3 linked regions of the Neodiprion lecontei genome follow. The protein of the gene in region 1 purifies or fractionates together with the protein of each later gene. This does not show direct contact. Links are inferred from orthologs where the notes say so. Each region holds a gene or a part of one and is shown on either strand. Other genes may lie near its edges.

The links.
Region 2: the proteins of retinoblastoma-like protein 1 (region 1) and transcription factor E2F4 purify together in Drosophila melanogaster (affinity purification with western blotting; 5 studies listed by BioGRID, with this or other methods). This does not show direct contact. The link is inferred for Neodiprion lecontei from reciprocal best matches to the Drosophila melanogaster genes Rbf and E2f2.
Region 3: the proteins of retinoblastoma-like protein 1 (region 1) and transcription factor Dp-1 purify together in Drosophila melanogaster (affinity purification with western blotting; 4 studies listed by BioGRID, with this or other methods). This does not show direct contact. The link is inferred for Neodiprion lecontei from reciprocal best matches to the Drosophila melanogaster genes Rbf and Dp.

The regions. Positions count from the first base shown.
Region 1 is NC_060264.1:8,083,716-8,087,474, forward strand, and holds the start of retinoblastoma-like protein 1, read left to right. Parts: upstream 1-1,095; 5' UTR 1,096-1,437; coding exon 1,438-1,575; intron 1,576-2,231; coding exon 2,232-2,763; intron 2,764-2,913; coding exon 2,914-3,210; intron 3,211-3,759. Other genes in the region: uncharacterized protein LOC107222088, read right to left, coding at 1-417, 550-701.
Region 2 is NC_060264.1:11,860,011-11,863,769, reverse strand, and holds the start of transcription factor E2F4, read left to right. Parts: upstream 1-1,224; 5' UTR 1,225-1,350; coding exon 1,351-1,458; exon of another isoform or gene 1,459-1,475; intron 1,476-1,504; exon of another isoform or gene 1,505-1,640; coding exon of another isoform or gene 1,641-1,646; intron 1,647-1,896; coding exon 1,897-2,006; intron 2,007-2,423; exon of another isoform or gene 2,424-2,639; coding exon of another isoform or gene 2,640-2,725; intron 2,726-3,759. Other genes in the region: uncharacterized protein LOC107216924, read right to left, coding at 1-222, 392-426. UniProt on the Drosophila melanogaster protein: Transcriptional repressor that binds to E2f sites and represses E2f-regulated target genes. Binding to E2f sites requires transcription factor Dp. Acts synergistically with Rbf2 to antagonize E2f1-mediated transcriptional activation.
Region 3 is NC_060261.1:34,106,992-34,110,750, forward strand, and holds the start of transcription factor Dp-1, read left to right. Parts: upstream 1-1,113; 5' UTR 1,114-1,241; exon of another isoform or gene 1,242-1,405; 5' UTR 1,406-1,455; coding exon 1,456-1,504; intron 1,505-2,372; exon of another isoform or gene 2,373-2,398; intron 2,399-2,485; coding exon 2,486-2,604; intron 2,605-3,188; coding exon 3,189-3,255; intron 3,256-3,591; coding exon 3,592-3,689; intron 3,690-3,759. Other genes in the region: F-box/SPRY domain-containing protein 1, read right to left, coding at 155-428, 576-880. UniProt on the Drosophila melanogaster protein: Component of the DREAM complex, a multiprotein complex that can both act as a transcription activator or repressor depending on the context. In follicle cells, the complex plays a central role in the site-specific DNA replication at the chorion loci.

The sequences.
Region 1 (3,759 bases):
TCGCCGAAATCAGCCACTGTTAACTTCTGATCAACCTCTATAATCTTGATATACTGCCTATCTTTCACAAATTTAATCATCGGAACAACCCCCATTAATCTGAGCTGGCTAAGCTCGTGTCTCAAAGCTCCCTCCGCCCTATGCAAGATTTGTTCGATGCGTTCATCTGACTCGGCGCCATCCTTGGCAAACCAAAATACGTTGACTTTGTTAAAATCTGGTGTCACACTGACACGAGATATTTCAACCCCTTGATCAATAATATCTGGAGCTACTTCTCCAGTGGCCAGTAGATCTGTAATGTACTTCATGAATAGCTTGTTCAGAACATCATTTCTGCGTTTACTCTGATGAGGCAGGCGTGGCTTCAACAATGTGTGAGGATTTGATGAACTGTCACTACTCTGACACCATTTTCTGAAATAAGATTGTTATAAATGAAATGAATTTGAAATTGAATGTGGAAACATAAAATCTTATTATTCAAACAAATCTTGAAAAGTACCGCATTAATTTTGTTGCATATTACTCTCAATTTGAGACTCTCACCTCGGTGTCCGATCTCCTCTCATGATTTTTGAAATAAATTTTCCCTCCCTCGCGGCGTAGGATTTTGCGAAATTCGTATCGCAAGTAGAGATACCGCGGAACAAGTTATAAAACAATTTTATTTTTGTCAAATCTTGCCATTTGCTAGCCATGGCTTATCGATTCGTGCAATTTTCAATACAGGCAGTATTGATAACGGTAATAAATTCAAACAATCGCTGAATTTTACGATAGTAACATTTCAGCGTCACAGAAAAACGACAATTCGTAGTAGATTATTATTTGAGGTTATGTTCTAGGTGGATCAACCAGATGATGGCCTCGGAACGAAAAGCAGAAAAAAAGTAGTAAGGGTGTCCAAACTAATTATTGGAAGTAGTCCCGCAACCGAGGCGTCAATGTGCAACTTCTGCTACATCACCGTTGCAGTGAAAACTAAGTCAAATGATGAGAATGTTGGGATTCAAAAGTATGATGAGTTGAAAAGACGGTTGAAGAAACTGTACATCGAGTTATAAACCAGTGAAGTTAGAGGAATAATACATTTTTATGCACTTCTTGATATGGATCTGGCACAACCTCAGAATACGCGTAATAAAATAGTACCAAATACGAAATAAATAAGCTCGAAATTGTTTAGACTACGGCTTTTAAATTATGAAAAAGATATACCGAATCTCGATCGGAAAAATGTATCAATTTGCAGTTTTAAATATGATATTTTTGGATGAAATATTCGTTTCTATATTTCCCGCCAACTTGGCAAATATGGCGACAGTTCATCGTTTCCCGCCAAGGTGCTACGGGTCCTCGTATGGCGCACCCCAGTTGTGTTATTGAGGGTTTTCCGTAATTTTGAGTGATTTTATAGTGAGTATCATTTGAAAAATGGGGCAGTCGGACGATGTTGAAGATTCTACGTACAGTAGGCATCAAGATTTATGCCAAAAACTCAATATGGACGCGACAGCAGCTTCTGAAGCTTGGAAATCGTACGAGACTATTCGACAGAATTACACTCTTGAGGTATTTTATCATTCTAATTACCTAACAACAATTTCAATGTTTTCAAACGTTCCTCACCTGCACATAGCCTCTTTATAGATAATTCTGAGATAAACGTCTCAAAATTACAATGAAATTATCACCTCTCGATGACTCCAAAGCAATTATTCAAAAAAATCCTAGAATTTTCGTGATACGTGCAATAATGTACAATAAACATTTAACAAACAATTGCGAACTTCAAACACTTCACTACAAAATGGCTATGCAATTTGTATTGTTGAATCATCATGAACTATCCGATCAAACTCAATCCACTTCTCAGTTGTAACATTTATGATTTGCTCCGACAACGACACGTCGCAATCACACAACAGCTTTAGTTCAAAATATATTTTCAGTAACTTGATCAAAATCCCTCTTATTTGAATGATTACCGTTCTTATCAAATTTATTCAATGCATCAAAATTACATGAATTTTTTTTTACCATGTGACTCATTTTTCATCTACATTGAATCCGTTGTTTTGTATGGTTAAATATTTCTTCTCACTAGTTCCTAAGTTTCTGAGTCAGTTCAGACATTTGAACAAGGATTTGTGTTACTGTCATTTTAGAACTTTCCAAATTTCTCTTGTTATTCCTTTACTTAAATATGTATTGAAATCACGTTCCAGGGAGATCAACTGCATTGGATAGGCTGTGCATTGTATGTTGCGTGTCGAAAGTCATCGACACCAACGGTTGGTCGAACAGGCCCAAACGTCGAGGGGAACTGCGTGTCATTGACACGTCTTCTTCATTTGTGTAATTTGTCACTGATACAATTTTTCACAAAGAGTAAAAACTGGGCAGACATGGCAAATATGCCGCAAGATTTTAGATCTAAAATTGACAAACTTGAGAGGAATTTTACTGTCTCGATGCTTATCTTCAAAAAGTACCAACCCATTTTCACGGACATATTCAAAAATCCAGCTGATGATGTCGCTAGACCCTCCAGATCTAGGAGGCAGAGAGCAATGCCATGTACACCATCGAGAGTTTTTGAGTTTTGTTGGACACTGTTTGTATGCATAAAGGGAGCTTTCCCTGATATATCACATGATTTGGTCAATTTAAATCATTTACTTCTTGCCTGCTGCGATCTGATTTATAGCAACGCACTGTTGGCCAACAGGAGAGATCTGCTCAATCCAAAATTTGCTGGTGAGTTGTTGACCGATATGCGATGAACTACTTTGTAGAGACTTTACTCAGTTTCCGATTGGCATGCTTGTTCAAAGCTCAAAACCTTCTTTCAGACTTGTTTCAACTTTTCTTGATAGCTGGAATTAATTTTATACTCTTTCTATGTAGGTTTACCTGCGAATTACAACAACGATGACTACGTACCTCCGGAGACAGCAAACTGTATTATAAGTTTACTGTGTGAGACTCGTGAAGGTATCGCTGTGGAGGCTAAAGTGATTAAAGAATATTACTTGAAGGATCACATAAATAAGTTGTTCAATGACAAGGTTCTGCGTGGAGATCAATCAAACTTCTCAGGTATCCTGGAGCCGTTAAATTTTGACGGCAACAGCAAAGCCGTCAACAAAGCATACGAACAGCACGTTCTTAGTGTCGGTGATTTTGACGAAAGAAAATTTTTGGGTAAGAAACTGCTTCTGAATATAGACCTTCGACATAGCATACGATTTTTTTTTTTCTATGTGTTTCAAATTCCGAATGTTTGTTCATTTGGAAATTTAAACGATTCCCATCACGAAAGTCTTCTTGGCAAAATTTTTCCATAAATTAAATTATGTATTTATTTCATATTAGTTTTTGTGAATACGTCTTTTGAAACAACTAATGTAGTATAGACGCATTAATATTTTCGTTCGAATCAACATTTAAAACTTCAAGCGTATATTTTTTGATAGGTAAGAAAGCGCATGATCTTGCGTGCGTAATTGTTTACCTTAGATGATTGGGTTTTTCTTCATATTTAAGAATTAAATTGCATTTAACGTAACCCTCAAATACTTTGATATGTATCAGTCACATACTCCATTTGGCAATTGGAAAAAAAGTACTATATTATGACAAAGTATGCTAAGTTCAATTAGTGTACATGAGTATCAAAAACTGTTATAGGTATACTCTGTATAGGTATACTTTGTCAGCTAGAATCAGCTACCCTGAATCGATGAAGTTTCA
Region 2 (3,759 bases), about 3.8 Mb from region 1:
TTCGTTAATGGGACAGTTCGCCTTTTCTTGGGCGGTAAATTCACCTTTCCATTTTCATCTGTTATAATCATGCCGATAGAGTCCTCTTTGTACTGATTTTCATCATTCGAATTTAGAAATTCATACACATCCCAATCATGCGCTGACGGGTCCATATCTGGTTCTTCATCCGAAGACAATGTTTTCTTCTGGGAAGAGCATTGTGGAATATTACCAATTGTCCTGTAAAATAGTCGACGTATAAAACATACATTCAACAATGATCATTAAAGCGAATTTCAGCTGTGAAACATCGTTTTGTCCTTGGTCAATAAATTTGATAGAAAAAGACAATTATGTTTCCAAGATAAAAACAGTCTTAATTTGCTATCAGACGAAAAATGAAACTTACTTTCTTGGTTTGACGTGCAAATCGAGGAATTGCATCGCTTTGAAATAGCTTGATGGCTGCCTGTCGGAAACACCGCCTGCAGCTCCCGATGGTGGACCAATTCTGGCACAGCGCTTTTCCCGTGAAAAACGCTCACGCAACAACTTCCACCTCTTCTCACAATCCTCAGCTACAAAATATCAAGATAACTTTAAGCTTGTATCTTATATTTTTACAACACATTATGAAGAAATATAGTAGTTTGTCGTCAATGAATTTGGGAAAGATTTATTAAATTTGTTATAAAATGTTTTATGTATAAATTTTATACATATATGTTTATATATAAACATACAAAATGAAGTAACCTTAAACACTTACTTGAAATATTCAACTCCCGGGCAATACGGAACCACGTATTGTTTTTTTTTTACCCTATCTTTATAATCACCGCTACTTTTATCATACAAGCACGGGGCTTTTTCAACTAGTCCAATTAATTTCATATCGAAGCTTTCCATTGTTTTGCTTGCTGTCGTATCTTCAATGACTTATTTTTCCTTTCGTTTTGTGTGCTTGGGGGTGGGGAGATGGACGGATATAATCTGCATTCTGATTGGCTGTCCGTAGAAACGCTTCAGTAGAACGTTCAAATTCGGCTAGATTCTACTGAAGCGGATTATACTTAAGCGCCAGCAGACAGCGTTGTAAACCATAGTACGGTTTTTCATATCCTTTAACTTCCTACTGAAGCGGTTACGTTTACGGTTACAGACATTGTAAACCGTGCTATAGGCTCCAATCGGTCCTGCGGCCGTTTCCAGCACATACCTATACGTTTATGTTGCTTCGGTCAAGAAGACGCCCTCTATGATTTAAACCCGAGTTTGAGTTCAGCCAGTCGGTGATGGCGTATCGCGTGCGGCAATTTCGAAGAGGAGTGCGTTTCGTTTTGAAAATTTTGACAACGGCCTTTTAAAATGGCAGACAATCAGCAGAGCAGGTTCGAAAAGTCACTCGGTTTGCTGACGACGCGGTTTGTAACTTTGTTACAAAAGGCGAAAGACGGAGTATTGGACCTGAAAGTGGTGAGCGGCGTCGATACGTAAGCTAGCAAAAAGTCACCGCGAGATCTAGGTTAACTTATTATGAGCATATATGTGTACGTTTTCTGCTGGTGTGGTTCCTCTTGCGGGAATTTTGAAAAAAAAACAACATGACAAAAATGCCAGACAATGTGCAAATCACGAGTTCCAGTTCATGAATTACAATGCGGGTAAATTTTATAAGGGTTTGGAGTTAACCACAGTTGAATACAGAGTTCATAATGAAGAAACTAATCTCGTTAGTTTCCTAACCTGTAACACATTTTTATTGTTGTATGATAGATAAAGCACTCGAAATTTGAATTTATATATTATGAGAATAAAATTTCTGACTGCGTGTGATTATTCAATGGTTATTACATGAAACGTTCAAACTTTTACAAGACTGATACATTAATCTGTGCCAACACTTTCCCTTAGGCCGCTGATATACTGGAGGTGCGACAAAAGAGACGAATATACGACATCACTAATGTACTCGAGGGAATTGGGCTGATTGAGAAAAAAAGCAAGAATAGCATACAATGGAAGTAAGTTTGGACATGATAAATATCATTGCATTATCACTCAAATAGTAAGGCACGGCACAAGCTACTTGCATATTTGTAACAATGTGCACATTTCAATTTCGGGCTTTTAATTTTTCAATGTACATTTGCTCGTTTTGTTTAATATCACTCGAATTTCCGTTTGCTTCAATACATCAATGTTGCTATTGATTTTCAGACTAGAGTATGATTATTTATAAATCATTGATCGAATTATAAGTAATAGAAAAAGCTGTTGGATACACATAAACAAAAACAAAAAGTATTACGATGAAAGTGTACTACAGATATCAAATAGTTTCCAAGTTCAAACATGTCGTAAAGTTCAGAAAATTTCTACTTTATATAGAAATGATGGTCTTGCAATTGTGGTTTAATTAAATGAAAGAGTAATTTCAGAAGAATGGCTGGTTCAATGGGACGGTGCCAAACCACATACCCAACATCTGTAAGGAAATGTGACATATTTGAATGTGATACAATTCAAAAACCATGCTTGAGAGACCGTTTGATTTAAGATTTTGATGATTCTAACACACTGCAATCAGAGATCTTCGCAATCAACATCAAACCCGTCCAGTGATAAGATTTTTCACACCATCCAATTGCTTGATTATGTATCGATTCATAATCACGGCACTTAACGCAAGCCATGGAGTTACCTCAGTTTACTGGATCCTCCCGCTTGATAATGATCCTCGGTACTTGTCTTATACAGTGAATTTTATTTGGTGTTCCAATCCTATGTTGTTTCGTCCAGATTTTTATTTGGTAATAGATTTGGTCATACAAAATTTCAGAGAAAATATTGAAAACTTCGAAAATTTGAAAGAAGTCATTGAATTTTATTCAATTTCATCAATATATTTATTTCATGTAAAAATAACCGTATATTCACCTTGTTAATCCTGATTTTATCGAAAAGCTAAGGAAACTACGTAAAAAATATGCTTCCAAACAATCAATATTTCAATGGTTTGAATCCTCACGCGACCAACGCAACCTGATTTTCGGATTTTTCACAAAAGGTTGCATAAGAAACTGTCATTGAAATGTGTTTTACCGTGGTATAAATTTATGATAATTTGGAGATTAAATTTCTCTAACTTCCACAAGTATTAATGCTAGTGGTTAAGGCTCATGTATATTTATTTCGAATCTTCGTTCACTTATCTTCTTAACAATGAATTTTCAGTGGCAGTTTTTTGTGCAATTTTTTCTGAAGAATCTGGATATCATGGAATCGTTTGGCTGCCTGAGGATAGAGTATTGGAACATTAACTTTTTAGAAACATCATTTTTTTACCTTATTTTTATAGATCTTCAACAAAGTTATGCATACATTCATACGGCTTCAAGAGACTTATCATTTAAAATAGAAATAAAATTGAAATACAGTAGAACCTTGATCATCCGAACCCTCAATTATTTGAACATTGGCGCGAAAGATACATTGTTGCTCGCTGCCACCGCCGTGAGCAACAATGTATCTTCGCGAAAATCGCGGGCATGCAAAAACGCGTTACAGACGTTCGTTGATATAAAATTGACGATGTCATAAAAAAATATAAACAAAGGCATTCGAGTTTTTTCAGGTGTTTAAAATACATGCATACACACACGCACGCGCACACACACGCACACACATATATTTCAACGTTACTATGTATGTCAAATCTTAATATATATATGTATGTACTGTTTTTGTGTAAAAATGTGTTGTTTGTGATCTCAA
Region 3 (3,759 bases), on another chromosome or scaffold:
TGGAAAAATTTTTCAACAAATCTTACAAAGTACATGTTGCTGGAATTTTCATTCAAATGAACATTTGGCATTTGAGTCACACCGCGCATTGACTTCCTGAAATTTGGTGCCTGCAATTTGATGGATAAGAATATGTAGCAAATTATCAGCTTACCTGATACTTTGGAGCGTTGTTAAGAAGAGGATAATTGCCTTGTGCATCCCCATTGTGTAACAAATGATTGTCGACAAGGTTCCATCCCCAAGAGTGTTCGTCGGAACCAAGTAGAGCTACATACCCTTGGCAGAGTAGAGATGCTTCTTTCGTTGCTATTCCTATCACAGCTACGGTTCCCAAAGGACCTTCCCAAATTACCTCCCACGCATGACGTCCATGGCGGAATCCTATCTTACTCCGAGAGGCATCTGTACTTTGAGCGACTGGATTTCTGGAGGTTGAAAATGAAGCGAATATTGGAATGAAGAAAATCGCTTGGTTTGTGTGAAAATTTAAAGTAACGGGTATGTTGTGTGCATTGAAGTCAACTCAATCACAGCACGTGACAAAACGTAAAATATACTGCTATTGCACCTACCGGTGCAAAGTGAACCCGTTTGGTTTGATGTAAATATTGCGGGAACAATCGTCAGGGTTCCAAGCATGGTAAAAAGCTCGTAATTTGGCTTTATAGGTGGGAACCGATGACAGCAAATCCGACTTGAGCGCTTCTTCAGCGAGTTTTCTAATACAGTGTAACCGCCATACATCATTATTCTCATCGTTCAAAATTCTATACCAGTTCTTACACACCAAGGAACAATTTCGCAAATCGTGCAATTTTAAGTAGGAAAATATCACTTCTAAAACATGATCGGGAACCCTTGACGCTATATCGTCCATTTTGCCGGTCCTACGTGAACGACGGAACAAAATACAGGTGGGATGGAAAGGAAACGAAATAGGGAGGTCGTTCTGCACTGTGATTCGCAGATACATTGATTCACTGACGTTTTGTGTAGTAGCGCTGAGTTCCCCAGCTACACATAATTCGATACTCAATGACTGAAGTTTGCGGTAGACGGGGAACGATGAGGAACGGAGCGAACCACGTGATCAGCACTGGCCAATCAGCTGTTTAGCTTTGTGCTACCGCCAAGCTCGTCTCGGCTCTACTTGCACTAAAAAGCTGTATTTTACTGACGCGTTGTTAATGTCGTGATAACGATTCAACGAGAAGCTGTGTGTCGCGCACGATAGCGCGGTTAGTTTATTTTGATAATTCGCAATATTATTGATACTTGGTAACCGGGTTTTTACAATATTTACTTCACAAATAGTGCAATGCCGGAGTCGCCATTTTGGTGATACGTCGAGTCCGACCTAACTATTGCACTTATGATCTTTTTATTTTCACGCGAATTTCAGTCCGCTTACGGGATCATATTTGATACCTTCGATATCCAGAAGCATCAGTGATGACCCAGCAAAATAAAACGATGAATTTCTTGATACACGACGCAAATGGTAAGTCGTCCAACTGGCGCGCCAACAATCGGCACGCACGGCTCCGTCTCTGAATATTCCTTGTCGAATGAAGTGTGAAACAATACCTCGTGCGATCAACCGAGGAGCGCGTTTTCTAACCAAATTTCACGATTCTTATATTTCGCATATCCATTTCTATTTGGATTCGTCAATTTGATCGCAGGCTCCTTGCTAAACTCAATCACGTTAAAACGTGTGTTTCGCGTTTACTACCAGAATACCGCGAACGAAAGAATGCAATTTTTGCAATCTTTGTTTGTAACCGAATCTTACATTAATAATCTTGATCGAGATTTCTTTCTAAGGATTTACAGAATATCCCAATCACTTTCATTTACTTATCGATAACTAGAACATCCCACTGTATAGTTCTGGATTTCCTTACGTTAAACTTACAATTTACACATTGACACTGACAAATTCTCTGTTCTTTTATTGATATACTTGTGGAATCCATGAATAATAAACAAACATATTTAGTACTGCTCGCGTGATTGTAATTGGTTCACTTTCATTGAGAAATAGCTATTGGAAATTGAAGATTAATGTTAAATGATATTGCTGTTTGGTATTCCTATTTTAGTTAAACTAGCTGTATTGTTTTCACGTAATAACGTGTATTGATAATCAGTCGTACACTGAATATCATTCTTGTAGATCTCAATTAGGATATAAATAATTCATTATTGTTCTTCTTAGCAACAAGGGCATTCCTTATTTGCCTTCAAGATCAATCAGTTGATTTGCCTCTAAAATTTGTGTACTACAGCAGCATTGACTCTTGAAGGACGAATGCCATTCAATATGAAATCTTAAATATTTCAGTATTCCCTACTGCTAAACACTTGATACTACTCAGAAGAGCCATCTAATGTACATACATTAGTTGATTAACTGAAGTTTTGGATCATATAAAATTGTTAATCTGTGATATTTTAAAAAAAATAAACTTTCTTACAGGCCAACCACAAGTTATTAAAGTGGTTCCGAGCACGCCGAATAAAGCACTAACTGGGCTTGTTAGCACCACAAATTCCGGGAGTTTGAAGGTATTCAAGACACCTGGCCAAGATACCCAAGTAAATATCATTTAAAATATATAATCAGACTCGCAACATTTGTATCATTTTTCTAATAATTACCATATATTGAAAAATTGCTCTACCAATATTCAACAGGTTTGCAAACATATTTTAATTATGTTATACAATGAGTACAATCCATATTATTCTGCACTCCCATCTTGAATATTTTTTACGGTTCCCATTTGTATGACTACTGAGTATGGTTCATAAAGCTTTCTAAGATGACACTGAAGCTCATATTTATAGACCTATTCGGATGAGCTGATTCATATCACAATTTAACCCAATGGCCACAAACAGGAGTTCTCAAAACAAAAATTCAAACTGTCTCACAACATATAGTATTTCTGACGTGTGCTATCTTGTACATTTTTTAATCAAGGGATTCAATAGATGATACGCAGAATTATCCCCGCCTGCTAGTGTAAGCTTCCAGCTTCTAGCTTCAACTTTGTATTTACAGGGTGCCCAGTGGTCAGTTAAATGTGTAGCAATTCGGGGGATATTGAATCACTTAGTGAGTGGGCACCCTGGGTTCATTGTGATGATATTATGACCATTACTGTTTGCACACTCAGGTCTTGTCCAGTGGGACACAAGTACTGAGAACCATCAGTTTGCAAGGTTCTTCAACACCTGGTCAGCGTGAGTATTACAGATTCTTACCTAGTTTCTTGCAGTACATATTGACGGATCCTATGAAAACAGAAGTATTTCGATGGGTCGGATAGAACACTTATATTTTGCCGCGCAATCTAGAATGGATGTAACTTAAAAAGTGTTACAGCATGTCCATACAGAGCTCTATACACAACTTTTAGCATCTTTTAAGATAGATCCGTTTTAGGTTACCCAGTGAAATACGGCCTTTCTATCTGGACTGTCAAAATATGTTTGTTTCTATAGGACCCATCTATATATCTGTCTTTTCAGTTATCAGAAAGTTCACATTTCTCATGTAACAAAATATTTTTCTATTAGGCTTAGTTACCATCCCTGTACAAAGTGCAAAAATGTCATCTGTAAAAGCTGGGGAATCTGTAGTGACAAAAACAATACAACTTACAACTGCTCGAATGGTAGGTTACAACATCATGAGCATTGGGAAAATATGAATCAGGAGCTATTCAAAAAAGACATTAGCTTTTC